Rattus norvegicus: one gene and its partner. The protein of the gene in region 2 interacts with the protein of the main gene of each other region in a pairwise test. Links are inferred from orthologs where the notes say so. Each region holds a gene or a part of one and is shown on either strand. Other genes may lie near its edges. The genes, in order: Cbll1 and Cdh1.

What was found.
Region 1: the proteins of Cdh1 (region 2) and Cbll1 interact in a two-hybrid assay, tested with the Homo sapiens proteins (2 studies listed by BioGRID, with this or other methods). The link is inferred for Rattus norvegicus from reciprocal best matches to the Homo sapiens genes CDH1 and CBLL1.

The regions. Positions count from the first base shown.
Region 1 is NC_086024.1:53,799,878-53,815,255, forward strand, and holds the start of Cbll1 (E3 ubiquitin-protein ligase Hakai), read right to left. Parts: upstream 12,909-15,378; 5' UTR 12,887-12,908; coding exon 12,874-12,886; intron 12,086-12,873; exon of another isoform or gene 10,746-12,085; coding exon of another isoform or gene 10,580-10,745; intron 8,590-10,579; coding exon 8,422-8,589; intron 6,043-8,421; coding exon 5,942-6,042; intron 5,631-5,941; coding exon 5,547-5,630; intron 4,742-5,546; coding exon 4,668-4,741; intron 2,367-4,667; coding exon 1,331-2,366; 3' UTR 1-1,330. UniProt on the Homo sapiens protein: E3 ubiquitin-protein ligase that mediates ubiquitination of several tyrosine-phosphorylated Src substrates, including CDH1, CTTN and DOK1. Targets CDH1 for endocytosis and degradation.
Region 2 is NC_086037.1:51,395,245-51,411,376, reverse strand, and holds the start of Cdh1 (cadherin-1 precursor), read right to left. Parts: upstream 9,200-16,132; 5' UTR 9,074-9,199; coding exon 9,026-9,073; intron 8,723-9,025; exon of another isoform or gene 8,615-8,722; intron 8,275-8,614; coding exon 8,148-8,274; intron 1-8,147.

The DNA of each region.
Region 1 (15,378 bases), on a different chromosome or scaffold from region 2:
ACGTATACATAGGAAACAGTAAAAACTGAGTGGTCGTCTCCAGTGGACTGTAACAAGCCCCTGTAATGCAAACACTGACTCTAAAGGCACCTTCCTCGGCACTGAAATTCACAATCTAATCATTACTTTTCTTCTGCCCAATTAAAAATTATCTGGGTGTCTTTAACTATTGATTCCATTGTAAAATGTTCCAATTTTAGATTGTTTTACCAAGAAAAGAAAGAAGAAATAATAGTTTTACATTCCCAACTTAGAGGAAAAACTCACCACAGCCACAAAACCTGAGTAAATGCTAGCTTGTGATTACAAGAACACCGCTTGCTAATACATTAGTCAGATCCCTCCACTGCACTCAAACTGCAGTTTATAATCCCATAAATAAGAACACGCTATGCACTAAAGTACAGAATCAAACTATGAGCAAATGCAGATTTAAATAGAGCCTAGTCAGCCCCAAATATGTAGGTTAAGAGAGTGAACAGAGAACACATTTCATCCAAATAACACCATTTTAAAAGTCCTATAAAGTAACAGAATTTAGGATTAAGTGTGACAAATTAGGTGACTAAGCACTCAGGAAAAGCATCAATGAAAACAGCACTCATCGGCGGTTAGAGCCTGTAAAGCAGGTCACCTTCCAAATTATACAACGGGTACCCTGAGACACACGTCAGCCAACTAAGGGCACAAACTCTGATGTGTATTGGAGCTTCACAGGTTACCCAACATGAAAAGGCATCCAAGTGAAACGCACTATACAATACACCTTGAAATTTCAGTGCCTAAAACGTGAAATAATTCCCTACAATTTAACAGTCTGCCTAGTAACAATTTAGTACATTTTTACTTTTAGGATTTTATTTTAACTTTGGAAAATTAGTGGTAAAATATGGGTTAAAAAATGATATGGCTGCACTTAAATTCACATAAAAATAGCATTTTTACAACCATTTTGAAATTTAATTCTTTTACACAGGTTAACAAAATGTGTCACAAGGAAACTAAACATTGGGTTTAATAAAAGCAGTATTTCTCAAAGTGGAACAGTGAAATTGTTTTCATTTTTTTAAACAAATGGTCGCTTTTGGGAAAATTTATCACATCAACGTAACAGTTGTTAAGATATAGTTGTGCTCAACCAAGCCATTTATCTGCACTACAGAATAGTACTTGAAAGCAATCCTAAAGTCAGATTAAAACCATTTTAAGAGACAAGACTTTGTTTTACAGCTACCTCAAGAGGTCGTTTTCCTTCCACAGTCAAAGCTCAATTAAGATTGACTAATTTAATTTTTTTTCCTTGTTATATCTTCAGTTCAAAACACTATGATCACTGGTAATACGGTCTGTATCTTGTTTGATCTGGATGATGTGGTCCAGGTAGTGGGGTTTGAGAAGGTGGGCCCTGCATTCGTGGAGGAGGTGGTGGCCCTCTTGGTGCAGGCCAGATACCAGGACTCATTCCTCCTGGTTGTGTAAATGGAGGGCTCAGAGTTCCTTGATCTTCAGTAAACTGGGGTAAAGAGTTAGGATTATAATGGTGCGGAGGGGGTGCAGTTACAGGTGGACCACCATGCTGAGGTGGAGGGGGTCCTGGAGGAGGATGATTCATATAAGGTGGCATTTGGGCAATAATATGTCCAGGGGGAGGGGTTATTGGTGGTGGAGCAGAGGTCATTGGTGGAGGTGGAGCTTGGCTATAGACCAAGTGAGGAGTACCTGCAGCCTGGGGAGGATGTGGCATTGGATGGCTTATTGGTGGTGGAGGAGGTGGGGGAGGTGCGTAATGTTGCTGTGGAGGCATGATGTGATGAGGGTGAGACACCACTGGTTGACCCTGATATTCAGGATGGTGATGAGCAGGTGCTGGGGCAGGAGGTGGTGGTTCTCTAGCACCTGAACTTGAGTCATCCTGAATAGGGACGGTTATTAAATTGCTGTGTTTTCTTGTTGAAATACGAAAGGTTTCCTGACTGACTGAACGAGGTGGAGGTGGAGCCATGGACAACTCTGCTGGAGGAGCACGGATATCCTCGTGTGGCTGATTATAGTGCTCATGTGGCACATGCTGCAAAGGAGGCGGTGGCATCATGATGTGCTGCTTTGGAGGAATGTGGCTCATATGATGCTTGTCTGGTGGCATTATGAAACGATCAGGGATTTCAGTTGGTGGGGGGGCAATAGGAGGATGAACATTCTCAAGTGAAGCACGGGTAACAGGTTTTCCAGCTCTCATATGGCGATGGTTGATGTGAGCTTGTAAGTCCCTTTGAGACAGATATGTTCTCTTGCAACCTTGAACAATGCTACACATGAAGAGAGAACCTCGTGTGCACTGTTCAATCCGCTGCACAGGATCACTACATCTAAACAGGAAGATAAATTGATTTACTTAAACCAAAATATAAAACAGCACATTTAATTTAAGCTTTACTTTAAAATATTATATAAGATAGTTGCAAAGTTAACAGTGAGTACTGAATAACTCTCAGTGAACCTTTAATCTTCCGTGGTTGCATCAGACACTAATTATCAACATCTTTACCAAACTGAGAACATTCTTACCTCAGAACTCTAAACTGTATCACCAAATAGAATGCCTTAAGAGACCTTCTATTTCCCAATACTTACAGCTCATTAATTTTCCCTAACTATAGTATGACTTACATACAGGAAGGACAAAGCAAAGGATCTATCATTTACAACCATGGAATTCAAAATTCAGTTGACTTTTCCTCACTGTAGGAGCTAGGATGCTTCTAATTTGTGGCCATTTTGCACATTTCCTGCTTTTCAGTCATCTAATTCACTACACATTCAGAAACACCTCCAGTTAAATAGGGTAAGGTCTTTTCTTTTGGGTGATGCCTAAAAGCAGTAGAATATGCTATTTAAATTAACTCTGGTAACTTTATTTCCTGCACTTGGTTTTACAATTAAGACAGTCAAACTCTCTAGAGAGGTAAAGACTACGCTGGTGAAGTTCATACTAGAACACATTTAGTTACCTGAAAACTAAACTGCACTTTTAAATAATAATACTGGAATCTCTAGGGGATGGAGACATGGCTCCGCAGTTAAGGGCACTGAATGCTCTTCCAGAGGTCCTGGGTTCAAATCCCAGCTCCCACATGGCAGCTTGCAACTATCTGTAACTCCAAAATCTGACACTCTCACACAGACAGACACACAGGCAAAACACCTATGCACTAAAGGTAAATAAATTAAAAAAAAATTTAGAGAAAATCTTTTAATGTCCATTACATTTAATGTTGCATTACATTTTAATTATTATCTTAATGGGACAATATATGTTAATGTAATTTTAAAGCTAATGCACAACCCTGGGCTGGGAAACAGGCATTAGAGAAATACCTCAACAAAGTCTATAATATATACTTCCAAATTAATATTCTTCTATATAACTAGTTCTTTATAACTATATAGAACATATATTAGTATTCCTTAAACACAGTATGTATGTATTTCATAATCTATAACTTTAAAAATCTAATGAAGGGTTGGGGATTTAGCTCAGTGGTAGAGCGCTTGCCTAGCAAGCGCAAGGCCCTGGGTTCGGTCCCCAGCTCTGGGAAAAAGAAAAATGTTTAAAAACCTAATGAAATATGCCAAGAAAATCAGTTGTCATTGGGTCACTAACAAACCCTCCCTTTTTTCCCTAGCAATGCCCATATCCTACACCATCAAGGGGCAATCTTTTCTTACAGTTGTTCATAGTTCTATTAGCAACCAATAGTATTCCTTGGGGTACTTTTAAGTACAGGTTAAGAGGAGCTGGGAAGCCCTGAGCTAATCCAAAAAGTTTCATTCCATTTTTCTCAAGGCTTCCTTATCAGAGGTTTCAAATTAATATAAATATTCACTTTATTATACAGCTATCCCAAAACAGACAGCATGCTGCATAACTTCGAGTCTATCATGATGTCATTATCACCCAACATCCTTATGTTTGGGTAACTGGAAGACTGGCATAGTGTTTATTATATGCCAGAATCTACTATTCCACTAAATCTTATTTTAATCTTAAAAATAATATAGGGAGCTTATAGATATAAAGCCCTACTTGTACCACATAGCTAATAAATAGTCAAAAGGGGACTAGAACTCAATAATTCTAATCCTGGGACCAATCAGACAGCTCGACAGGTAAAGTGCTTTCTGTGCAAGCCTGCTAATCTAAGTGCCATCCCCAGAGCATAGGTAAAGTTGGAAGGAGAGAACGGACTCCACCAAGCTTCCTCCTGACCCTTGCTCATGCTCACACCCCACCCCACCCCCACATTATTCACATACAATTAATAATAAAAGAAAGTTAATTCTAATTTTGGAAAGATTGTTCTCAATCACCAAACCACACTATACTTGCTTCCAGGTGTGCCAGACAAATACAAAACAAAAACAAAAACAAAAACTGGTTTGGTGTCTGACACTGTTCCTATGGTGATAAAGGGATTTCATCATTTTAGCTACTCTGAATAGGCCAACAATGGCTAGTTCCCTCTTCCAGGGAAGGGGAAAACTCCAGGTTCACAGAGAGTGTCTCAGCCAGCACATCTGCATCCTTGTCTATTTCCATTACACCAAAACCTTTAAGCCATCTTGCTTATAAGGCACTACTATTAGACAATCTAATGATTGTATCTTACCCCGGGCACATCTTATCTCCTTTTTTTTCATGTAAAATAGCACAGTCATAGCAAAAGACATGCTTGCATGGAATCTGTAGGCAAAAATATCACAGTTAAGCATCCTATAGCATTTCAATACTGTCAGTATGTGATCTATAGACAGAAGGCACACAGGAGTTAATGATTATTTATTAAGACTATATACCAGAAGCAGCTAAGAGTCCATCTATCCCATCCATCCCATCCATCCCATTCTCCCTCCCTCCCATCCATCCATCCATCCATCCATCCATCCATCCATCCATCCATCCATCCGGTATTTCAAGGCAGGGTTTCTCTGCAAAGCCTTGTTTATCTTGGAACAATTCATTTATCTCTGCATTCTGAGTGCTGGGGTTAAATGGGGCAATAAAGTGGGTGGCATGTACCACCACTGCCCAGCAACAATCTTAAATAACAAGTTTTTGAAAATGTTTTGAAAACTTTGGCTCTTTTTCCAATACCTGTACATCTGCTAACACTTTCCTTTTTATTTTGGAGACGGATCTCATGTTCAGCTCAAATTGCCTTACACTCTGATATACTTGAGGCAGTCCTTGATCTTATGATCCTTCTGCCTCAACTTCTGTTGGGAGTGCTAGGATTAGAAGACTATCCCCCCTTGCCTGGCATCTACATCTATTTTCAGATGTGTGAACCTAGCGATGTTAAAATTGTCCCTGCAAGTATAAAGCTCCTGAAAAAAAAACTCTAAATGTGTTTTATCTTACTGCGATTCTCCTGAAACTATTCTAAGACAGTAAACAGAATAACTATATTAAATTCATGGTATAATTAAACTTCTCTTAGCTTTTTTCTATGTATTATGTTATAAAAACAACCTTAGTTGTAACTTACCATTCTTCCATAGACTTTAATGGGCAATCCACATTTGTCACAGAAATGAACTGGTGTATCATCCTTTTCACCTAAGATGTTTATCTATTGAAATTAATAAAATTTTCTCTTTAAGCAATTTTGAAAATTGTACTTATCAATTCACACAGTGAAATGATTAGAATTTCCTAAGTTGTTACCACAAACAGAAGTAAAAACTGATTAGTATAATTCCATTTGCTTGTTTTCTTTCTTAAACAGCAGTTATGATTTTACTTGGTTTTACTAATAATTACTTCAAATTATTTCTGAACATGGTAGAAATAAGCAAGTGGACTTGTGTGTGCTACAAGTCATAGATATACTAAAAATCTATACCAGTACTAAATGCCGAATGTTTCATTTTTTAGTTATACCTTAAAATCCCAAAACAGGTGTCCCGGAAATCTTCGCTGATTTCCAAAGAGTTCGCCCCCTTTACAGTCATACCGCTGTTCTTCATTATAATCAAATCCTTCTGAGAGAAAAAAAGTCACATTATATTTTTCAACTTCAAATTTCATTTCAAAAGTATATTTACATGGCAAAATTGGTCTATTTACTGAAAAATATTTCTGACTCTCAGAGACCTAAAAACATGAAAATCAAAATTACAAAAACTACTCTAAAACAGTAAAAAAAACTCAAAACCTGTATTAAATTCATGTTATTATAAAACTTCCCTTAGCTTTTTTGTATATAAAACTAGTTATAAAAATATCATAATAAATATTTTAGAATCCTACCTCTACAACACCAGACCTTAATTGTACTTACATATGCCCACAGATTTTAATAGACAATCCACATTTGTCACAGAAATTAACTGGCATATCATTTTTAAACTGGAGTTTAAAATGCCAGCTGGAAGCAGTCTTCATGATCATTGAGTCCACCTCTAGTAATTCAGAAATGACAACATATAGTGGGTACAGCAGCCACCTAAGCTGAGTGCCAGAGCCAAGAACAGACATGTATTTGAGTCTCTTATTCAACGCTCTTACCAACTCCACAGTCCACCTCTAGTATAAAACCTCACCAATTACCACCATGTTTACTGAACAAAATTTAAAGATACCCATCATCATTTATTCTAAACTACCTACAAATTGTAAGAATAGAATTTAGGAGTAAGACAGATCTTCTAGGACTTGAGTGTATGTTAACAGCAAGATTTCTATCCTGGAAGAAAAAACAAATACTCTCTATTTGTGGTAAGACCTCACTTTAAAAACCAATACATACCCATAAATGTTCTAAAGCATGGGCCAACAAACTGTTGCTATAAAAGGCCACAGTATAATTCTTAGACTCTCTTGGTCATATAAATCTAGTAACTCTGTCATGCTAGTGGAAAAATAGCCACAGGCAATACTCAACTGAACAGTAACTTTGTCTTTTTTAAAGGAACTAAAGTTGGCCTGCAATCAGCTTGCTGACTTCTAACAGATGGGAAGACAGGAGAGGGGGGTTTTATATTCATGAAAACTAGGAAAGGTCTTTTAAAGAATATACTAAAACATGGAAAGAGCAAAGTCTAGTTAACTGGCTACCTAGAATGTTCAAGTTCTTTACAGTAATATTTTATACGTAAAGTTCAAAAGATAAATGAACTATACATTTAACAAAGTCAGTATTATACAGAATTCAAAATTAAGAGAAAGACACTAATGAAAATAGATCCTGGAATCAAGACAAGCTATGAAAGGCATCCAACCACACACTTCAGCTCCTGCCTGTAATCCCAGCACTTAGAAAGCTAAGGCAGCAAGATTTTTGACCTTCAAGGACAGAATGTTACAGAGTCTGCCTCAAAAAACTGTTAAGCTAATAATACAAAATATTGATGTGTGTGAGGAAAAAACTAACACACCCTTTCTGAAGAATAATTTAGCAAGATCTGATCAATTCTGAAGTGTACAAACCAAGTCTTTACTCTCCTTCCTCTTTTAAATGGTTCTATGGATGAAACTTGGGCCACCAGGCTTATGTGGCAATTACCCTCACCCATTTAAAAACCTGGCCATCTCCCAAGTCAAAGTTTTAATATTCATGTTATAACACAATTATAGCAAAACAAGTATCTACAAGAAAGTTAAATAAATTATGGGATATCTATAGACTACATACTATTCATTTGTTTGAGACAGGGTCTGACCTCAAACAACAATCCTCTAGTTTCAGCTTCCTAAGTGCTGGGATTTCTTTCTGCCATGTGCTACATCACCAGGGTCAACCATTTTTGCTTTTCTTTTTTTGTTTTTTTCTAGACAAGATTTGTTCTGTGTAGCCTTGGCTGTCCTGGAACTTGCCCTGTAGACCAGGCTGGCCTTGAACTCAGAGATTCACCTACCTCTGTCTCTGGAGTGCTGGGATTAAAAGCATTCACCACCACCACCACCCAGCTTACTTGAAACATTTTTTTAAATGTGAAATACTATTTTTAACCAGCTAGATTTAATCATGCTACAATATGGATATACTTGAAAATATCATACCATACATAATAGATACACAATGTGAAACATTTTTTTAAGAGACAGTAACATCAGCTTTGGAAAGGCCTGTGAAAACAAATTTTACTTTTAAGTAATGCTCTCTACAATATCGATTAGATTTTTTAAAAAGAGGGAAGGGTGCTTACAAAGGAATAGAAGACAAAGAATATGTAAGGCTAAAATTTTAAAGTAGGTTTAAGTAAATAAAGTCAGATGGATTATTTGATATACTCAGATAAACAACAGAACTCTTTTAAAATTTACTTGTATTTATTTTATGTGCAATAGTGTTTTGCCTGCATGAATGTCTACGTGAGGATGTCAGATCTTGGAGCTACATTTCAGTTTAAACAAGTTACCTTCATCACCTTGTGCGGCCTTTGCAGGCATCCTGCTAACAGTCCTTTGAGTCCGAGGGGCAGGCTTAACCTTGTTGGCCTGTTTGGAGATGAGTTTTATAGGAATTCTTCTGCGGACATCGAGACCACCCAAGGATCCAGAACTATTAGTGCCTTGTAACTCATTGTCTATATGAATGGGAAAAAAGAAATTATAGTTGTTTTCACTTTTCTTTTTGAAAATTGTTCTATAAGTATAAAGATAAAATCAACATCAAACAGTAAATTGAAGATCTTGGTTCTGATTAGAAATACTAGACTGGTAAGGTTTGGGGCAAAGCTGTAAAGAAACGCTTTTGGTTAGGCTTTTCTTTAACAGGAACCCTTTCAGAAGCTGACACAAATTACAGAACCTTTATCTTTTCCTAAAAAGTGAAAATAAAAACTTCCATAAAATTCCATAGTAGTTTACAAAAAGATAAACCTTTTAAAAATCTTTTAAAAAGGGCTGGAGAGATGGCTCAGAGGTTAAGAGCACTGACTGCTCATCCAGAGGTCATGAGTTCAATTCCCAGCAACCACATGGTGGCTCACAACCATCTATAATGAGATCTGATGCCCTCTTCTGGCCTGCACGTGTACATGCAGGTGCAACACTGTATACATAATAAATAAATCTTTAAAAAAAAATCTTAAAAAAAAAAAAAAACCTTACAGATTGTAAAGATTTTTAAAAACAAAGGAAAAAAACGAAATTGTCTTTATATATGTGTCTAATTATCAAACATTTGAAGTAGCCATGCAGTAAACTTGGTAAATTTACGTAACAAATTGAAAATGCAACACTACATTAGAAATACATTTGAAAATAAAGCTTTAATTATTGTGCTGAGGGGGACTGCTGTGGAGCCACAGAGGATATGTGGAGGTGAGAACACAATCCGTGGAGATTGGCTCTCGTCCGACCACCTCATCCCCGGATGTTGACTTCAGGGCCTCAGAAGGTGGCAGTGTCTTTATCTGTTAAGCCATCTTACCGGTTTATGTGTTGGCTTTAAAGAAGTAATAGTGCATTATTTGACCTATACCATCTCTAAAGACATAGGCAACAGATACCTTTAGTTAACAGTCAACACTGCAATGGAAAAGTATACTTTAGGCTTGGGTCTTAAAAAGACACTTTCTAGTCCTTTAAAATCTTATCATCTATGGAAAAAAAAGGGATTCTCGTCCACAAATAAGAGGTACATTATTTCACAGGACTGACTCACACAAAACTTTATTTTTCAAGTACATAAAAATACATAACACAAGTATTCAACTTTACCTTAGAAAGGGAAACACTTAAAAATAGAAAATGCAAATGTAATCTTAAAATTGTAATGTCTGAAACAGATTAAGGAATAGTGTTTCTGCAAGAATTACAATCAGAACTGATAGCCAAACTGTCCACATTAAATTCGGCAAAACCAAAATGTGAAAGTAGTCTGCTAGTACTAATGACTTCTACAACTATAAGCAATACCAATCAATTAAATTCATACCCATTTGCCTTTTGTATGAACAAAATAAAATTTAAAATGGGTCTCAATGATTAAATATCTTCTATTTACTTTCTACTCTTATAGCAACTAACTCCTCTCAAAATCTTTCATAGATGATTAGATGAATGGCTACAACCTTGAATTATAATAAAGCCAACTTGATCAATCTTCAAGACTCCACTAAAATGGAATGTCTTTCATGTATTTCAGCAGTCTCCACTGCATTTGCTCACCCATATAGAAATACCTACATAGATCTATACAGATCTATGACAGATACTTTTTTCCCCTTGCACAAAATGTATTCTCAACTTTCCAAAGAACTGAAATAGCCAACATGATGCTCTTCAGGTATCACAAGGATTCTTAGTGTGTTACTTCTGTGAATGAAAACAACACACTTTACCTGCCCAGCCTTTGAACCAGCCCACATAACACAGTTCTCCATTATTTAAACAGTAGCCTGGCCCTTTCACGAGCCTGTTTCTAAAGCTACTGTTTGTCTCACAGATTTAAGTGACAAAAATCTGAAGTTTGTGTGGGGACACCCATACATAGAAACAAAACAACAAAACACAAAGCATGTAATAATTATCTGGATAAGGGATAACAAGAATAGTTTAAAGCAAATATACCTTTATTATATAGTTTTAAAAACAACACATTTAATATTTTATCTTGAATAAAAGGAGCCAAGGAACTGAAGGCAGGTATGCAGCTCACTGATAGAACCTGTCTAAGGTACTGAAGGAAGGTTCTGGGTTCAGGTCGGTCCCCAGCGTCCATCTCTCCAAAAAGCATGAAGCAGTCTTTTACAAAAATTGGGCTACTTTTACCTAAGCACTGATTATCTCTGACAATGACCAAAGAATGAATCAAGTGTTTGCAGGATCTTTATTGGCCTGGGTGCCTCTGAGATGTAGGATCATGGGGACAGAGCTGGCCTGAAGAGCTGCAGGGACATCACCTTTTTTGCTGCTTCTTTCCACCCCAGAGGGCCCTCAGCTCACTGCTAACACTTCTGCAATCCAGAGAAACACTAATGTCTTTGCCATTTAAAAATATTCTGAAAACTTTCTGGCAAAATTCTACTCCAATACTTCCATTTAAAAGACCTCTTGATCCTTTGACATTAAAATCATTATTTTGAGATGTCTACTCAGTCAGAAAACTGTCAACTAACTAGCTGCCATTTCTTGATTTAGTCTTTGACTTAATTTGATTTTTTTTCTTCTCAAAATGTGCAGCAATTGAAACTGAAGCACTAGGAGACTGTGTTGTAACTGATTTAAAATCTAGAAAAGCTACCATTAAACAGAAAGGAGAGCTGTCTGGAAACTTTTTTTTTAACCTAGCTAGCTCAGTAGTGATTGTTTTCGTGTTAGAATGACTGTTCTTATCTCTCCAGGCAACCTTTGGCTAATAACTTAGAAACTAGGATAATTCTTTTACACAGTTCTAGCGGGATCTCATTTCTCTCACATACTTCCATAAACCCATGAGCAGCTGCTGGATCGCCACCAAAATATTTGTGGCAATTGCCTACTCTCTCAGTCCTGCTCCTACTTCCCCTACAGCGTTGCTGGGGACCTGCTAGGTAAGTTGCTCTACCACTGAGTTTTGCTTTAACTGGGTCTCCCTCTACGGTAATGCAACCACCACATAGATTATTTATTTACCCCCGTTCTTCCTCTCCACCATTCTATATAGAAGAATAGGAATTATTTTTTAAAATATTATACTCCCTTTTGTTCAGCTGCTTTGTAGCCGCTCAAACTCTTTATCGTGATTTTCAAAGTCTTGAAAAAGGTAACTTGTATTTTCCTTCTCAACTTAGGACTAACTAAGCTACGGACATTTGGTCTTCTCTATATCTTCCTACCATTCCAAAGTGGGGGGGGGGGGCCCTTTTCCTGGTACTCTCTGAAATTTCTTACTCCATAAGCACCTGTTTCTTAAAGTACTCACCACAATCTATAAGGAGCTTTTAAAAAAGAAACCAACCTGTCTGCCTCCTTTGACAGAATGCAAACTCGAAGACAAGGACGTAGTCCTATTGTTTACTATCCCATCATTCTATCTCCAAGCCTACAAGTATCTGCATGCAATTACATAACTAAGTGGTGTTTGAAGACTGCGCGCATCTCAGTCAATTCCTAAAGAAAAAGCCTTTCCTCCTGCTTGGCGATATAACTGTCTGAAGCACTCAAAGCCAAGCGCTAAAACTAAAACCAAGAAAACGAAGCCAGCAGAAACGAGGTTTGAAGCTACTCGCAATATAAGATGAAAATATCTTGATCTTAAAAATTCTGTATATATCCCCAAAAGATGCGAAAGAACCACGGCCGAAGGGCGGGGCATGCTTTGAGTTCAGGTAGAAAAAAGATGCTCCACTTATAAGTTCGAAAACTATATCCGCCTTTATTCTCTAACTACCAGTCCGCGAAAAGCCAACAAGACAATAACCACAGGAGATGACCACTACAGCAGCCGCCCGAAGCTGAGAAGCAGCAGGAAGTCTCCAACCCACTCTCGCCCACAGTCCGGACGCTTCTCCAATTCCGAGAGTGGAAAACACCCGCCTATTTCCCCAGCACAAAGTGCAAAGCAACCGGAATGAGAAAAACAAAAACAAAAACACAACAAAACTGGGGCCGTCCCTTTCCAAGAAGCCTGCGCTGCGAAGGGTTCCGAAACGAGCTCAGCGGCACCAAAGAAGCGGTGCTGCCGGTCTCGAGGATGGAGGCACCGCTCCGAGGGTAGGCCGGGAAGCAGCAGGCCCAGTCCGGGACCGGGCCTGAGCTTGCTTCCTCTCCGCCACGTCCCGGCGCACTGGGGCGAGCGTAGCCTCTTGTGCCTGCTGGGCGACCAGTCCCACACGAGCCACGGGGGCAAGAAACTAGGACCCCCGCTGCCTCCGCCTCCTTACCAGTGTGATCCATGATTCGGCTCGCAGGGTACAGTGGGAGCGGAAGTGAGTCGCTCCGGAGTCGCAGCAAGCGCGTGCGCCCTACCTTCCGGAGCGCAGAGGCGGAAGTGCGCTGGGACTGCTCTCACTGGCTTCCCTTCCTAACCGCACCATCCGACTTTGGTGAGGGAGTCACACATAGGCAGGACTGAGGCAGGAAGAGAGGGGACACGAGGGCTCTGGTGCCGAGACTTCTAATTCTCCCCAGAGGCTGCCCTCAGCTGTAGGAAGGATATCTATTGCAGTGGGAGAGCAATAGGAACCAGAGGGAAGCGAGGCAGGCAGGTAAGCCGCCGCCCACCCCCTGCGGCGCGAGGCCTTCTGGGATTTGTAGTCCACCCAGAGTGCAGTCTCAGCCGTTAGGCTGGTCCCACCCCACCGGGCGGAGTAACGGTTTGGAATGCCCCCCGGATCCGCCGCTGGGTATAGAGAAGTGTAAACACGCGCGCTCCGTTCTTGCCCGAGGGAAGCTGAGTTAGGTGCTGGGAGGGAGGAAAGGTTCTTATTGCCTAATCAGGCTTTGTCCTGATGAGCCCCAACGCCCACTCGACACGCGCGTTCGCCCTGGCTCTTACCGTAGTTTCTCAAACTGAAATGCGTGTATAATGCTGACTAGCCCCTCGCTCTAGAGAACACCAGGCGCCTCTAATCCCTGCAAAAGCTGTAGGGAGTTCCAGGTTGTCCCGGTCCATCGAGGATGCAAGGCAGTTGTGTGCAGAGAAGGTGAAGGAGGGAGGATAGGAACCGATGGAGTCGGAGGGAAAGCGTTAGGGCTTGGGCAGAGGGAAGAAATGAGAAAGGGCAGGCCCCGACTGAGGAAAAGAGAGTTACCAAAACAGGCGGTACCTAGTTCCAGTTCTTGGTCCCTGGGGTCTGTGGTTGCTGCTTTCATCTTGCTCAGCCAAAACAAAAGCAAGTGTCAACGGCGATTGGTGAGGACCTTCAGAGCACCCCCCACCTAGATTTGGCTCATAATAGGTCTTCTCCCCTCTCCAGCCCTTCACACTTGAAGCTCTCAGATGAGTAGAAAGGAGCACAATTAGTGGAAAACATCAGCCTAGGAGTCAAGGGATTTGGGCTCTATGGTCGTCCCTTGGTGACGACATTGTTACCTTGGGTTGTTCACGCTTTCAGTGCCAGAGTTCCTAGATCAATAAAACATTATTATATTGGCCTCTTTTAAAAAAATGTTTTCACAGTACTCAATTCTGAATAAAGTATGTGTAGCAATGTGTTCTGTGCGTTGCACAGTAACAACTGTGACTAACGCTGCAGTGATCATAGTTTAACATGTTATTTAGTGATTGTCTTCATTGTGGTCTTTTCAAAGACTCCCACTCATTGCGCCTTTACAAACAAGGTTGTAGGTACACTCAAGAACATTTTTAAGTCGATGTCCTTTTGGTTTTGTCCTTGTTAAAATGTAAATTTCTGTACTACTGGGTGTTTTTCACAATTTTTCAGTTGCTAGGATTATGGCAGGGGGTAGGTACTGAAGCTTAACCTTTCTCTGATAAATCTCTAAATATAGTGCTGACACGCTGGGGTATTTAACAACTGTCTGATAAAAAAGAAACTGGGACAAATGGCTAACTGTGGTATCTATTAGCATGCCATCGAATGGTGCTAGCCTCCAGGAGGCTTTCTCAATATCACAATATCACAAATACCTGTGGTTCTTTTCAGCCCCGTGGACCCCACTGTCTCCCCTAAACTTCAGCTTGTGGGCTTCCCTCCCCCTAGCTTCTCTCCCCTCCCCTCCCCTCTCTCATTCTCATTTTCCTCTCTTGCCCCTATTTCCTCTCATGGCTAGGTCCAAACCTCTGGCCATGTTTGGTCTACCACTTTCCCTGCTCAGGACTCTTCCAGATGCTGTCCTCTCCCTCATATCTACAGTAAAAACCTTCCTCTCGACCACACCTCAGAGAGGTCATGCCTTCAGTTTATACATCTGGTGCTGAAAACCTCACTTTATACAACAACTTAGACTGCCAAGGAGGTAGTTTTTACCCAGGAAGTGCTTTTTATCCATCACCTCCATCAAACGTAAGATTGATTAAAAACTATAGGTTAATAATAATGACTTAATACTAGAGAAGTAGGATTTAAAAGAACTTTAGATTGTACCTATAGACTGTTACATTTTGCAGGATTTTATGATATACTGTTAGGAAGTCCTCTGGAGTATCCTGCCATGGTGGAGCATGCTTATAAAGCCCTTGGAAGACTGAGGCAGGAGGATTGCAAGGTCAAAGGCAGCCCGAGTGGCAAGTAACAACACTTGCCGAGGGCTTGCTTTAGTAAAACCCGGAATGTTTATCCAATGTGGCCTTGCCATGGACGCCCTCCTTCTTCTGTGTCTGCTTTCTTCTCCCATCTATTAGAGTTGCCATGTTCTATCAGGGCAGGAGCGGTGTGACAAGACGGTCTCCTAAGTTCCTGTTAGATTATATACAGCCGACACGG
Region 2 (16,132 bases):
TCCTCAGGAAAGGAAATAGGCTCCACCGGAATTTGGTCATAGTCAGTAGAAAACTGGGTAAAATTTCTGTTTCTGCTTTTCCTCAGTGCTGCTAGGGATCAAAACCAGGGCCTCACACTCGTTAGACCTGGCCTGATCACAGAGCCACACCCCAAGACTTTTTCAAGGATGTTGAGAAGATACCCAGGGGAAATCTGGTCAGGGGAAGCCCTGGCTGAGGAGACAGGGTAAAGAGGAAGTCTCAGTGTCAGCCATATGTAAACAGACTGAGTTCGAGGCCATCCGGTATACAGAGCAAATCCCAAGATAGCCATGGCTACACTGGGGAAACCCTGTGTAGAAAACGGGGGGCGGGGGGGATAGAAAGAGAATAGCCTCACTAGTGGATAAAAAGGCCCAAGGCCCTGGAGGAAACTTCACTGTGCCTGGCCACACCCTCTTACTTAAAAAGGTCCAGCAGGTAAAAGTGATCATTCCTGCCGGCCCCTCCTCCCAAATGCCCTGCAGAAGACTCTGTAAGCAGAGATTTTCCTGAACATCCCTGAGGATAGAGGCTGGATCTCCGATGCACTGGCTACATTTCTGGGTCCCCTGGCACCATTGACCAAGGGTGCTCTTGGATCCTGGGCCTCAGGATAAAGAGCCAGATGCCCACACCCTGGCTGGCACCAGGTGTTTACTTGTCAAACGGTCACCTGCGACCTAACTCCTGGTCTAACAGGAAAATGAACGTGTGTCCATCAGTATGGTATCGTAGGCCTTTAATAGCCTAGCACTTGGGAGGCAAAGGCAGGCACATCTTTTTGAACATGAGGTCCAGTAAATTTGTAGAAGAGTAAATCTGTATTTGTCAATGGCTAGATGACTCGGTTCTTGTCCGTGGGGAATGAACCAGTCTCGAGCTGAGCCAGAGAGCATTTTGCAATGGGTCAACAGATAGGTATCCTTAAGCATGTGTATTATGAAATAGTTTTAAAAACTGAGATTTCTGGAACAAACAACTTAAGGCCATCCTGAATTCCCAATCCCCAGCTCGTCTGGGCCCTACTTCCAGCTGGGTTTGAACCCTTTCTCTAAGGCACAACAAAGCCACCACAGCCCACTCCCAGTATTGTAAGGATGAAAATGCCATTGGACTTCCTCTTCTAACAAAGGCAAGTCCTGGTCAACCGTTTGCAAAGCAGTGTTTGCTTACTACAGAAGTACCGGGAATGAGGAAACTGGTTTGGCTGGTTTGCTGGGCGGGAGAAGAGCTTAGGGAAACTTTCAACCAACTTTCAAACCAAGCTTACAATGGAAAGGGAAAGTCTTAGACTGAGGGCCCCACAGGGGGTCCTATACTAAGTATTCACTGAACATTTGGTACATGCCCCTAGGATATATATGCATATGGTTATATCCACTTTACAGACTGGGAAACTAAGGCCAGGGCTGCTGGGTTGTGTGCACATTGGTTATTCCAACATTTGGGAGGTGTAAGCAAGAGGACCCAACATTGTAAGCCAGCGCCACATGATGAGTTCCAAGTCAGCTCCTAAGCAGGGCCTGGCATAGAGTGGTGAATGCCTATATATCAACACCCAGGCAAAAGCCAGGCAGATCTCCAACCAAAGGCCTAGGGAGCGCTAGGCCAGCCAAGGTTACATAGTGCGTCTCAAAAAATAAAATAAAAGTTTAATTGACAGAAGAAAATCAGTTTAAAAAGACTAACTGTTCATTTCCAGACCCGGGTTTGATGTGTCCCTTCTGTAGCCTCGGAAGCTATCAGAGAAAAGTGCCTGGTTTGCCAAGGACAAGCCTAGGGCTAGGCTCAGCTTCCAGGGAGACTGCTGGGCAGAGAGCCCTCACAAGTACAATTAGAGATTCCAGAGGACCTACTGTGCCCTGCTCACTTACCCGCCAGGGCAGTGCTGCTCTGAGGATACAGAATGAAGCCTGAGAAACACTGAGGTGAGTAGCAAAGGTTGATTTATGCATCCATTCATTTGTTCAAAACAAGACTTGTAGTCCTACTGGGTGCCTAAGAAATTATTTACTTTTTCTTCTGCTTCCTCCTCCTCTTACTAAAACAAGGTCTCAGTGCAAAGCCCTAGAGAGCCTGAAACCCACTACAGAATCAGACTGTCCTTAAACATCTAACCCTCGTCCTGCCTTAGATTCCACCATGACCAGCTTTTTTTTTTTTTTTTTTCCGGAGCTGGGATCGAACCCAGGGCCTTGCGCTTGGTAGGCAAGCGTCTACTACTGAGCTAAACCCCCAACCCCATGACCAGCTTTTTAAAGAGACCTTCTGCCAAAGGCAGGGTTCCACAGGTAGCCCAGGCTAGCCTCACATTTGAGATCCTTCTGCCTCAGGCTTTGAAGCATTGGGATACAGGTATGGACTATGACGCCTGGCTTTATTTAGTAATTCTTGGTAAATTTCTGAAGCAACTTAGAGACAAACAGAAAAGAGACTGGAGACTGACCTCCACAAACTGGACAGTTTATTTACCTCAACCGGCGCAGGGCAAACACTCTCGAGGAGGGGAGGGGTGTCTCTGAAAGGTGAAGACTTATATAGGTGGTTTTGGGGAATACTGCTAAGGCTCTGTACAACTGCTGTTTCTCTTTCCTGGAGTTGTTTATCCAGACAAAGCCCTATCTTTACAAATGGTCTTGCCCTGACTATCAGGATGTGGGTAGTAGTGAGAGACTGAGTTTGGCAACAGCAGCGATGGGGGAGGGGCCAGAGTTTCACTATAGGACCTTGGTCAGGGTGTGGAGGAATTCAAGACTTTCTTTAATCTTTAAAACATGGTCTCACTAAATAGACCTACAGAGCCTGGAATTTCCTATGTAGACCAGGCTGGCCTTGAACTCTGCCTTCTGAGTGCTAGGATTCAATGCGTGCACCCCCATCCTCGGCTTTAAAACAAAAAACATAACAGCAACAAAATAAACATTACTTATTGGGAGTGTACTCTCAGGTATGCATGTGGAGGTTAGAGAATAAACGTTGGAAGTCCTTTCTTTCCTACCATGTGGGTCCTGTGGACCAAATTCAGGTCTTCAGGCTTGGTGGCAGGTGCCTTTGCTCACTGATTTTTTTTTTCTTCTTGAGACAGAATTTCTGTGTAACCCTGACTGTCCTTGACCTCAGAGATCTGCCTGGCTCTATCTCCTGAGTGCACCACCACACCCAGCTCACTGGCCCTTATTATGCCTACTTTCTTTACATTCCTGCATTTCGCCCGGTCCCATATTTATGTTCAGCCATATAAGCTTTTTTTTTTTTTTTCGGAGCTGGGGACCGAACCCAGGGACTAGCAAGCGCTCTACCACTGAGCTAAATCCCCAACCCCCATATAAGCTTTCTAAGATTTATTTATTTATTATGAGTACACCATACCTATCTTCAGATGCACTAGAAGAGGGCATCAGAGCTCATTACAGATGGTCGTGAGCCACCATCTGCTGCTGGGATTTGAACTCAGGACCTCTGGAAGAGCAGTCAGTGCTCTTAACCACTGAGCCACCTCTCCAGCCCCAGCCACATACGTTTCATTCATTGCTTTAGCCCCAGAGTCTAGCCTAGCACTGGCATAAAACAGCAACTCGATATGGACAGCCAGATGCCCATACTCCAGCTAGCACCAGGTGTTTACTAATCAAATATGCACTAGTGCATATAACACAACAAATATACATGATTCTTCACACCCAACAGATGGGTAAACTGAGTTTCATAGTGGTAAACTGTCTTATTTATGTAAAGCCACATTAGTAGCAGCTATTGAAGTTCAACCTGAGCCTTTCTGTACTTTCTCAACGACTTGCTATACTGATTTCATTCTTCCCTTTGGAAAACTTTATGCCCCAAAAAGAGATAACGGTGAGGCAGAATAAAACCCTAGGCGGCTGAGTCTGGACTATGTTGGGTGTCTCTTGCTGATTTTAGGGGTTTGGCAGCTTGTGGGAGATTTCAAGAGCTGATTGTCTCCACACCTGGCTTATCTGGTGCTGCTCTTGGAAGGGAATGAGTAACAGATACCAAGGTGAGCATTTCAGCCAGTAAAAAGCCCCAGAGAGTAAACAGGGATTTCCATACACACCTGGCAGAGGTGGGGCAGGAGCTGGGGCAGCTTCCTTAAATGGCCTGGCTTAGCCAGTGACCTCACCACCTACACTCCTCGGGAGACACAAAAGCAAGGACAGAATGGCAGCCACTACTCTCCTTCCTGGGATGGCCCACATGAGCCCTAGTCACCAGCATGAGTAATTAGGGAAAGTTCAGGAAGCTGGGGGTGGGAAGTGGGTATCTGATGATGTAAGGGGACCCTAAAGCAGGTTTCTATGTTTGCTTTTCTCACTGTCCAAGCAGCTTTCAGCACATCCTTCGGAATGGAGAAGAAATGGGTGTATTTAGTCCACACAGGTGGCTGCCTGGGAACTAGGTCAATCCATCAAATAACCAGAGCCCGGCCCAAAAAACAGGCCCGTTTGTCCTACAGACATTGTAAAGCTGTGGAAGCCATCAATTAAAGGATTTATCAGCACTCCACAGGGATGTACCTTGGTGTATTAGTCAAGGAGCCTGGGCCCCTGAAAAGTTTGTGCTAAAGAGAAAAAGAAAGGGAAAATAATCAACTCTGAAGAAGCAGCTTAAACTGGACTTGGTGATTGTTGTTGGGAATCCCAGCATTCAGAAAACTGAGGCAGGAGGATTACCACCATGAGTTCAAGGCTAATGTGGGCTACACTGTGAGTTCCATACCAGCCTGAGTTAGACCCTCTCTCAATAAACCAGAGTGCTTCACTCTGCTGCACACAGACTAAAATTAGAACAGGACAGAGATTAGTGTAGCCCCTGACACACATACATACAGATTAAAAACAAACCCTGAATCAGCTTAAAAACAAACAAGAAGCAGTATGGCGGTACACACTTGTATCCTAGCCCTGGAAAAGTGGGAGCAGAAAGATCACAAATTCAGTCATCCTCTACTACCTAGAGAGTTGCAGGCCAGCCTGAGATACCTGGGACCCTGTGTCAAAAAAACAAAAACAAAAACAAGAAATAGAAACAGAACAGCACTCAGGAAGCAGAAGCAGAGGGATCTCCGTGAGTTCAGAGGCAGCCTGGTCTACAACAGTGAATTCCAACCCAGCTAAGGCTACATAGGGAGATCCTGTCTCAAAAACAAACAACAGAAACAATAAACAAACAAACCAACCTAACTAAAGAATATGCTTAGATAGTGGAGGGGGTTGGGTTTTGGCTTTGAAGATTCTGCATTTTAGAAGCCAAAGAATCTACAGGTGAGCTCTTGGGACACCGGGATGATGCTAACCAACCACATCAAAGCCTATTTTTGACCTTTTAGCCACCAGTGTCAGATTCTCAGGAGCCTGCATAGTGGACCCAATACCACAATCCTCTGTTTCCCCAGGTCCAAAGAGTGTCTCCACCTTCCTAAACGAAGGCAATTCTTTTACACAAAGCAGTTTCTGGGGGTACAATGTGTGATTTCTGGAAAGATACCTCTGATCTAGAGCAATTCCACATTCCACTGGTGCGATTAGACCCCTGGAGAGTAGTGGTGGAGCCTCAGACTTAAGGGGAACTGGAACCAGCCCGGGGAAGCTTGGAAGCTTGTGGGCTGCTGTGTGGAAGCTGCTTCTCCCACCTAAACCACCGGTGGTGGCGGGGCTCTCTACCTCCCACTGAGCATGCTCTCAGCGGGGAGGCTCTTTAACTCCCACAGGGCAAGCTCTATCTCCATCAGAGCCAGCCACTCTCAGCTCCCCCTACCTCAAGACCTCTGTCCTCAATTTTCACAATGGACTGTGTTTTCCCCGAAAACGCACACACATATCCCGCGCCCCCTCCCTCCTCTCCCATCTCTCTCCTTCCTTCTTCTTTTTCTTTCTTGTTCTTTTAGGAAAGGTCTCATCTCACTCGGTAGTCAAGGTAAATCACTACATAGACCAGGCTGACCTCAAACGTCCAGCTTTTAGCAAGCCTCTGGCCTCAGAGCTTCCCCCCCTCCCCCAAGAGCTGGTCACAGGTGTGAACCACCAGGGAGGCAGCTCACACACTTCACTTCCGGAATGCTGGTCACAGGTGTGAACCACCACACCAAGCAGCAGCACACATTTTCACTTATTTTTGTCTTCTCTTCGGGAGAAAAGGAAACCAAGAAGAGGAGGACCTGCAGTAGATGCTTCAGGCAATACAGAAGCCAGTCAGGCTCGTGAGTTCCTTGAGGACTGGAATGGTGTCCACCCTCCAGACATTCTCATTTTTACTTTAGGTAAATGACTCACTCGCCTCACGGGACCAAAGTGAACAGGTGGTACTATCAGTTTTAAGTGATCTTGTCACCGATAACCAGTGGTGTTAGTGACTATTCACTAGCCCTTAGAGGTGCAAAATAAAAACCAGGTTAGTGCCAAAGTGAGCATGTAATCCCAGCACAGTCTGAGGCAGGAGAATCACATAGGGAGATCCTGTCTCAACAAACAAACAAACAAACAAACAAAAAACCCGACCAACACACAGGTGGTAAAGTTCCTGGCTAACCTGTAACAGGCCATTACAGGTCTCATCCTCAGCGCTGCTGACATAGGCGGTCCTAACTGAGGCACTGCATTGGGATCCCTGATATATAAGCGCTCCCATGTCTAAGCCTGCTCTGCTCCACACTGAGTGACATCTACTTATTCTCAGACACTCACTGCCACCCTCGGAAACATCCTAGGCCACTCATCCCTCACCAGTCCATCCCAAAGTGCCACTGAAGGGCATCCTGAAATGCTCTCAGCAACCTACCAGAGGCTCAAATTATTCCTTGGGCAGGAATCAAGTGGAGACTGGCTGAAGGATCCCTAACCACTCCAACCTCAGGCCCACGGGGCTGCAGCCTTTCTGGACCCTTAGAAAGTTCCACCAATGGGTTGGAGAGATGGCTCAGTGGTGAGAAGCACTGGCTGCTCTTCCAGAGGTCCTGAGTTCAATTCCCAGCAACCACATGGTGGCTCACGACCATCTGTAATGAGATCTAACGCCCTCTTCTGGTGTGTCTGAAGGCAGCTACAGTGTACTCACATACATGAAATAAATAAATAAATCTTAAAAAAAAAAAAAAAGTTCCACCAAACCAGTCAGGTCTCAGAAAAGCAAGTAAGACTAGCCAATCCCAACGGAGCTGCTGTTTCTCTGTAAAATGCACCACCAAACCTGGACCCAACTCGCAAGGCTCACAACAAAGTTTTAGGCGCCATCACGGTTGCTGTAGATTGTTCAGGTGGCTTATGGCTGGAAGAACAAACGTGGTCAAAGTATTCCCAGAAAGGGATTGGGTGAGTTCTCCTTCTAAAATTATTCCCTTTTGTTTATCATACTTTTGGGATCAACTAAACTCCTCATGAGAGAAGCCATTTTGGTGCCAAAGAAGCATTTGGAAATTAGGGAAACCAGTTAAAAAACAAACAACAACAACAAAACACCTGGTCCTCTTGCCTTGCTCCCAGCCATGCCCAACAGTTAAAGAAAATTCTAGATTATCACAGTAAGACCTGAATATATATTGAGTCCTTGAATATATGAACCAGAGCTACCTTTTTTCTTAAAGAAAGTAAAAAATAAATAAATAAATAAATAAAGTATTCCTTGGAAAAGCAATACCTGTATCAAGTATTTTTATCTTTATGAACAAAAACCACAAGTCATGTTCATGAGTTATGAGTCAGTTCCTCAGTGGCCATACCTAAATAGTGGGAGTCAAATCCCGGTTCAAATGCCTGCCCTGTTGACCCCGTGAAGTCACTCTTTGAGCCTCCAATTGCTCATCATTAAATGGATATACAGTTCAACTGGCCCTACCCAGCAGGTTTGGCGGTCTGGAATGACAGACTGGCTCCAGTAATCGGTTGGAGAAATACCGATGACCTCTAAATACCCTTGGCCCGTTTCTGCCCTGTATAAATAGCAGAGACAGACATATCTGCCTTGATCAACCACAATCAATAAATAGACTCCCAAATCTGCCTAAATCCCAAGGGAGAGTTCTGCCCATTCCATCCTACCGACAAAGTAGCACAATTTCTTGGCGCCTTCCCTATCCGACCCCACTCGGCCGATTAACGCAGTGGAGTTCCCTTACCTCTGCCCAGGATGTGGCCTCTCTCCAGGTGCCTCTCCGGCACCAGGAAGGTGTAGACCTCGGAACTGAAGCCGGGACGGCAGGAGTCAGACTCCGACTCCGGCTGCTGACAAAGCCACGAGGAGACCTGGGGTGGCGAGAAGGTAGACAAACTGGTGACTTGAGGGGGTTCCCAACAGCCCACACCGAAACCAAGAGTAACCCTTCCCTCGCCTGGGCGGTCGGGATTTGTGGGAGGACCCCCTCGGGGCAGACCGGGACGCAACCCTCTCAACCCGAAACCAGCCTCCAAGCTCAGCTCCAAGAGCCTTTGGGGGAGGGGGCATCTGGGGCCACCACCTGGCAACCGGGTCTACCTTTCTCTCCTAGCTCCATTTGCATCTCACTGGAGACGCCTTTACTCTTTCCGGACACCACTTTCTTAGACCGCGAACGGTCTCAACCAACGCCTCGGACTTCCCTCTTACCTTAGAGAGCCCATCTCCAATCTACGGTCCCTCCCTCACATGGCAGGTGCTTTTTGTGGTACTAAAATCCCTTTCCTTATCTCGGGTCGTCCGCGCTCCTTCTGTCCCCCACCTTCTACAGGCAGGCCCCCATCCTAATACACGCCTCCTCCGTCCGTCTCAAACAGGGACCCTGCTCAACTCGGGGTCCCGGGAGACGGCAGCGTGGCGCGCCCCCACCTGGGAACCTAAGCGAGAGGCGGCCCCTCTGCGCTCTCCTGGACCTCCCTCCCTGCACAGCGTAGCCTCCAGGGCGATCTGGCCCTCTGGAGCCCAACTTTCTTGGAAGAAGGGAAGTGGAACCACAGAAGGCAAAAAAAAAAAAAAAAAAAAAGCGAAAAAGCGAAGCGGGTCGTGGGACCCTCCACATACCTGCAGCAGGAGCAGGAGCGCGGAGAAGCTGCGGCACCGGGCTCCCATGGCTGGCCGGGCAAACGCCGAGCAAACACTGAGCTCGGGTGCGGTCGGGCAGGGCCGGGTTAGGCCGGGCTGAAGTCTAGCAGAAGTTCTTGAGAACTCAGTAGTGCGCCGCGGCTCCCACACCAGTGAGCCAAGCAGAGGCTGCGGCCGCCAGGTGAGCCCGCAGGCACCGCCCCCGGCGCCGCTGATTGGCTGGGGACGCACCTGCAGGTGGCAACCAAGGAGCCCGCACTGCCCTCAACTTCCTCCACCCGTCTGTAAATTGGTGACATGGGCCGGGCTTAGGAGACTTCCTTGCTTCCTTATTCCTCGGTCGCTCGAATCCTAGCCTAGCTGTGCTCTGGCCCACTGAGACTTGCAGTTACAAAAGACTTTACTCTTCATCTAGGTTTCTGTTTTGTTTGTATTTATTTTGTTTGGTTAGATGAGTTTGTTTGGTTTGATTTACATTGTCTTAAGGATTTTAAATGACATTTTAACGTGTGTGTGTGTGTGTGTGTGTGTGTGTGTGTGTGTGTGTGTGTGTGTGTCGCGCGAGGGGAGGCATATACTCGCAAACGCTTGTGCCACAGATGCCGTTTTCGCCTTTACTGACTGAGCTATCTCTCCGGCGGTTTTCTTTGGTAGCCTTTTTTGTTTGTTTTCCAGCCCAAGTAGCCTCAGCCATCCTCTTGTTTCAGCCTCTCAAATGCTAGGATTTGGGGCACCAGACCAGACTAATCATCTAATTTTCTAACACCTGTCCCCCTCCCTTTTGAGATACAGTCTTGCTATGTAGTCCAGTGTGGCTTTGAACTCACTATTGTCTCAGTCTCCTCACTTCTGGGATGGAGCTACAGGGACCCACTACCCGGTAGCTCCACTAAAATCTGTTCTCTTAACTTCAGTTCTCAGGAGGTTAGTGAGCCAGGGAGGAAGCCAATGGATTAGCATCCCCTGGAATAGGAATTACAGGCAATTTCAGTGCTCAGCGTGGGAACTGAACTCTGAACCCCTGGAAGAAGAGCAAGTCATCTTAACTCCCAAGCCACCTCCCTGGCCCCTTGTTTGTCTGGTTATTGTTTGTTTGTTTGTTTGTTTGTTTGAGGTCTCTCTCAGAACTCACTATGTAGACCAGTCTGGCCTCGAACTCGCAGAGCTCCAACTACTGCTACCTCCCAAGAGCTAACTAACATTAAAGGCATGTGCCACTACGACTTTGTGTGTATTTGTTTTCTGAGACAAGTTCTTCCTAAGCAGCCCAGACTGGCTTTAACCTTAGGATCCTCTCGCATCAGCATCCTAAATGTCGGGAGTATGATATGTACCACCACGCCCGTCAGGTTTTTTGTTTCGTTATTTTTATTTTACATTTTTTATTTTTAAAGTTTTATTTACATTGGTGTTCCCCCCCTCCATGTATGTCTATGTGAGGGTATCAGATCTCCTAGAACTGGAATTACAGACAGCTATAAGCTATCATGTGGGTTCTAGGATTTGAACCTGGTTCCTTTAGAAGGGCAGCCAGTGCTCTCAAACAGAGTCATCTCTCCAGCCCTCTCCAGTCAGTTTTGTTTTGTTTTTCATGCTGAGCTGGAAGAGATGCTTTAGTAGTCTCTCAAATCTGTTATTTACCTTCAACTTGATATCATGTAGCAAGTCAATGCTAAAGCAAAGACCAGAACTCAAGCTCTCCTGCCCCAGAGACAGAGACTTTTAATGCCATAGCCATAGCACAGCCATCAGCACCTTCATCAGAGAATCCTGTCCCCGGTACATAATTTTAGGATCAAAAAGAAAATAGACAAACGTTAGATCAGTTTCCCTGTCTGCCTATGGCCTGCCGTGTCTGTGTTGCTTGGCTACATGAAAACAAAGGCACCTCTCACTCCTGTTGGCCTAGCCTTGGCAAAACAGAGATTGGGGATGTGGCTCAGTTTGTCAAGTGCATGCATGAGGCCCTGGGTACCATCCTCAGCACTGTATAAACCAGTCATGGTGGTGCCTCTGTGTAATAGGCACATAGGGGTTACACATGGGCAGGAAGATCATAACTTCAAAGCCATCCTTCTCAGCTATGTACTGGATTTGAGCCCCGTGAATCTCAACAAGCAACCCAAAACTACAAAATAATATTCTTGCCAGTCACTAGCTGTGCAACCTTGGGCAAGTCCTCATCTGTGCTAACGCCGAAGCAATGACTGAAGTGTGGAGGTTGTGCCTTTGAAAGGTCCAGCCCAATCTGACCATGAGTATTTCCCACCGTGCTAACGGTGAACCTGAGTCCACAGAGAGCACAGCCTCATCCACAGAGGTGCTGTCTCTAACCCACACAACCCCCACTGATTCCACCAGCTCTCCCTGCAGGCTGACCCCTCCATTTCAATGGCTTTCCAAGCACACACAGAGCAGCCTTTTGGATTTCTGCTTCTTGGCTCCCTCTGCTTCTTAGCCCACCAGGCGGCTCTGAGGGAGAAGGCTCTGGTATTTCCTTTCCCACTGAAGCTCCTGCCCAGATCATGCCCCGAACAAGATAATGGAAAAAAAAAAGAAAGAGGCGTTTTCTCCCCCATGGGGCAGCCTTGTCGTTTATTTTTTTTTCCTCCCAGTTACATAAAAAAATACATATTTTATATCATTGCTGGGTGCGGGGAGTCGTTAGGGCTTTGCTTTCTTTTGGCCAGCAAGCGCTGGCTTTGGAACTCTGTGGTGACTCTTCATTGACTCTTCCATTACTCGGTGATAATTCAATAAAAAGGATTTTAGACAACAATTAAGGGCAGCAAAGACAGGTCAGGTCTGATGCGCTTTTCAGGCCTGATGCACTCTTCAGATTGCTCAAGTCCTCTGGAGAGGGTAAGAAAGGGCCACTCACTGCCCCAGCCAGGCTATGCAGGCTGAGGAGAAAACACAAAGGGGTTCCCTATACAGTTGGGGCTCTGTGTAGCAGTGACCTTCCTCGGTTTACCCTTCTGTCAAACAGGCATAAAACTTCAGTGTGGAGAGTCACTGAGCCAGTATGTAGAGACTATGCGATGGGAACTGAATTGTACACTCTTCCCCGGTCTGCATTTATTAATCTATAAAGGGTGGTATTGATAGCAGTACATTCAGAAGGTTCGTGGGTGAGAGATAAGCATAAACTTCTGATCTGCCTGCCCTTGTCTCCCCAGGACTGGGATCTCAGGTGTGCGTCTCCATACCACACTTCCCAAGTTGGTGGGAGTAGGTGGGAATCCAACCCAGGGCCCGTGAATGCTCAGGCAAGCACTCTCCAAATTGAACTATACGTCCCGGTCCCTCAGAAGATCCTCCTTCATACTCTGTAACATTTTTGCTCTTTTTAATAGAAATTAAACCCAAGACACAGAGTATGGATAGCTATATTCCCAGCCCTTTTTATACTTTTTTTTTTTTTTAGACAAGGTCTCCACTAGTTGCCAGGCTAACCTTAAACTCACTCTGTACCGCCCCAGGCAGGCTTTGAACTTGTCATCGACCGAAGGTTACAGGCTCGAACCACCAGGCCAGGCAACTCTGTTCAGCAACAGCAGACTAGGGAAACAGTCTATGGGGAAAGAAAAACACAAAACACACACACACACCACACACACACAGACACACACACAGACACACACACAGACACACACACACCACACACACAGACACACACACACCACACACACACAGACACACACACACCACACACACACCACACACACACAGACACCACACACACACCACACACACACACACACACACACACACACACACACACACACACACACGTGAGCACCCTGGGAACCTCCCCAGCCCCAGGCTCTCTTTTCCCCACACCCCAGTAAAAAAGCCTCTTAGGCTATCTGTGGCCTGGGAAAAACTTCCACACAATCCAGCTAATCATTTAGAACTTCTCAGGGCCATTTACATTTTAAAGAGGGTGCTGGGGGCTGAACTTGCTGCTTTCAAAAGAATGAAAGGCTCTGGCTAGTCTGTGTGTTGGACAACTGCTGGGATGGTCTGTGATTGCATATAATAGCTTATCAACATGGGAGGAGAAAAAAATTAAATCCAGGAGTTAGGATCCTGGGAAGTTCGGGGACTAATGGGGAAAAGCGCCTTGTGATCATTCAGGGAAGATTAACAGACGGCCCACTCCCCGATTCGTGGCACCCAGCCCTCAGTGGCTCATAAGCTGTAGGCTCCTTAATTGAACAGTGAGGGTCATTTCCTGGATGCCCTACAGGTCATCTGGGAAGCTAATGATTAACCTCCTGAATAGTCTGGGTTCCAGCCTCAGAATTGCAAAAACACTGAAGGTTCTACTGGTAAACACAGGCCTTTAATCCTAGCACTTGGGGTGCAGAAACTAGCAGATCTCTGTGAGTTAGGTCAGCCTGGTCTATACAGACAGTACCAGGCCAGCCCTGGCTACACAGTAAGACCATGTCAAAGAGAGACAGGGAGGGAACAACGCACAGTGTCCTTATTGAAATTATTTCTAAATTGCCTAATACAATGTGAATGCTACACCGTGCTTGCACATATTGTCCTGGAACTGGTGCTGTAGCCCAAACTGGTCTCAAACTTGCAGGGCAATCCTCCCAAGTGCTAGGATTATAGGTGTGAGTACTATACTCAACCTAGATGCAATTTAAAAAAAAAAAAATCTCACCATGTTCAAGTTCACAGAGACCTACCTGCCTCTGTCCCCCAAGTGCTGTGATAAAAGGCTTGCCTTGGTTCTCAGCTTTCAGATACAATTTTTAATTTTTTTTTCTTTTTTTCGGAGCTGGGGACCGAACCCAGGTCCTTGTGCTTGCTAGGCAAGCGCTCTACCACTGAGCTAAATCCCCAACCCCACAATTTTTAATTTTAATTTATCATTTTTTTTCTTTTTTGGATTTTATTTTTATTATACCCTATCATCTCTCTACCTACCTACCTCTCTATTTGAGGGGAAGCGCCTTGGTGTGAATGGAGTGTGTGGAGGTCAGAGGGCAGATTGGGAGTAGGTTCTCTCTTTCTAACCTGTGGATCCTGAGGATTGAACTCTGTTGCTATTAGGCTTGGGGGCAAGCACCTTTACCTGCCAGACCCTCTCAATGATCTCAGTGGTCCAGATGCATTCTTTTAGGGCATACGTGTGTGATGTGTATGCAGTTGCAAGTGCACATGTGTTCCTCTGGAGGCCAGAAGTTGTTATGTCAGGTGTATTCCTCCATCACTTCACTTGTTTACTTCAGATCTTTCAGTGAACCCTGCGCTTGAGAATATTAACAAGTCTAGCTGTAGGGATGGTGCTGATGCTAAGGTCCTGTTCCCCAGTTGGTTCTTGATCTGTCAGTAAAGAAAGCCATAAGCTAATTACTGAGTGGAAGGAATAGGTGGGACTTCCAGGTCCTCGGAGGAAAAAGAGAAACAGAAGCAAGGGAGGAGAGGAGAGAGTTTGTCATGCTTCAGAGAGGAGAACCAAGCAGCCATGCCATGTGAGGTCTTGGGAGGAGCAGCTTGACACAGGCTGCTCCTACAGGTGGATGGTCAAGGATGTTTAGCAGGGACTAGATGTATCCTAGCAACTAAAGTTAAGGGCAGGTGGGAGGAACAGAGATAAGAATGTCGTTAAGGGCATACTTTTCCAGGCGGGAGTCAGTAGCACCCAGCAATTGTGCCAAGAAGGCAAGTTAAAAAGCAGCAACTGGGGCTGGAGAGGTGGCTCAGTGATTAAGAGCACTGACTACTCTTCCAGAGGCCCTGAGTTCAAATCCCAGCAACCACGTGGTGGCTCACAACCATCTGTAATGAGATCTGATGCCCTCTTCAGGTGTAGATGAGGACACCTACAATGTGCTTATATATAAATAAATAAATCTTTAAAAAAAAAAAAAAAGCAACAACTATGTGTCTTTTACCTGTGGATTCAAAGGAAGCTGGGTGGGAGCTTCCTGGAGTTTAGAGAGGGTAGCAAAAAGCTACAGACAACATCTAGCCACACTCTGACTTTACTCTTTGACTTCCTGCCATGTTCTCATATGACATTTACTTATTTGTTTGTTTGTTTGTTTGTCTTTATTTTAAACAGGAGCTCACTGTATAGCCTGGCTGGCCTGGAACTCACAGAGGTCTGCCTGCCTCTGCCTCCTAAGGAGTTCTGGGGTTAAAGACATACACCACAGTGCCAACAGAGTCAAAGGTTTTTTTTTTTTTTTTTTTTCTTTTTTTCAGAGCTGGGGACTGAACCCAGGGCCTTGTGCTTGCTAGGCAAACACTCTACCACTGAGCTAAATCCCCAATCCCCCAGAGTCAAAGTTTTAAGCAAAAAAAAAAAAAAAAAAAAGTCAGGGTTCAATGAAATGGCTCAACAGGTAAAGGCTCTTGCTGCCAAATCTAACATCCTGAGTTTGATCCCTAGAACCCATGTGGCAGAAGAAAACTGACTTCTCCACTCATACTATGACATGCATGGACACAGGAGCAAATGAACATTAAAACAAAATAAAGCAACACTCCAGGGGCGGGGCCCTTCCCATAGCATAATATCCCAAAGTAAAAAGTCCTCTGGCTACCCTCTCCTCAGAAGCTAAGACTCAGCTGGTGTCAGTTGAGCCTCCATTACCAAGTTCTAGTCACCTCGCAGTTTGTAGCCCCAAGGATGAGGATTCTTCAGCTCAGCTCCATATCTCGCTGAGTCAGACAACAAGCATTTATCAAGTATTCCCACGTGCCTGATGTTCTTCTCAGTATAGAGGACACAGAAATAAACCGAATATGGTCCTTGTCTTTATGAAGCTCATAAGATGGTAAGGGCTATGGGCAGGTAATCATTCATTCATTTATTTATTACATACGTACAGAATGCAGCCGGGTGGTAGCATCACTCGGGAAGCCTAGGCAGGTGAATCTCTGCGTTCTGAGACCAGCCTGGTCTACAGAGCAAATTCTGGACAGTCAGGGCTACATGGAAAAACCCTGTCTCCAACAACAACAAAACAACAACACAGAGTGCAAAGTATGTGTCAGGTATTGTGCTAGGACCAATGAGTGCACTATGGCACTAACTAAAGCACAGCTACCGTTTAG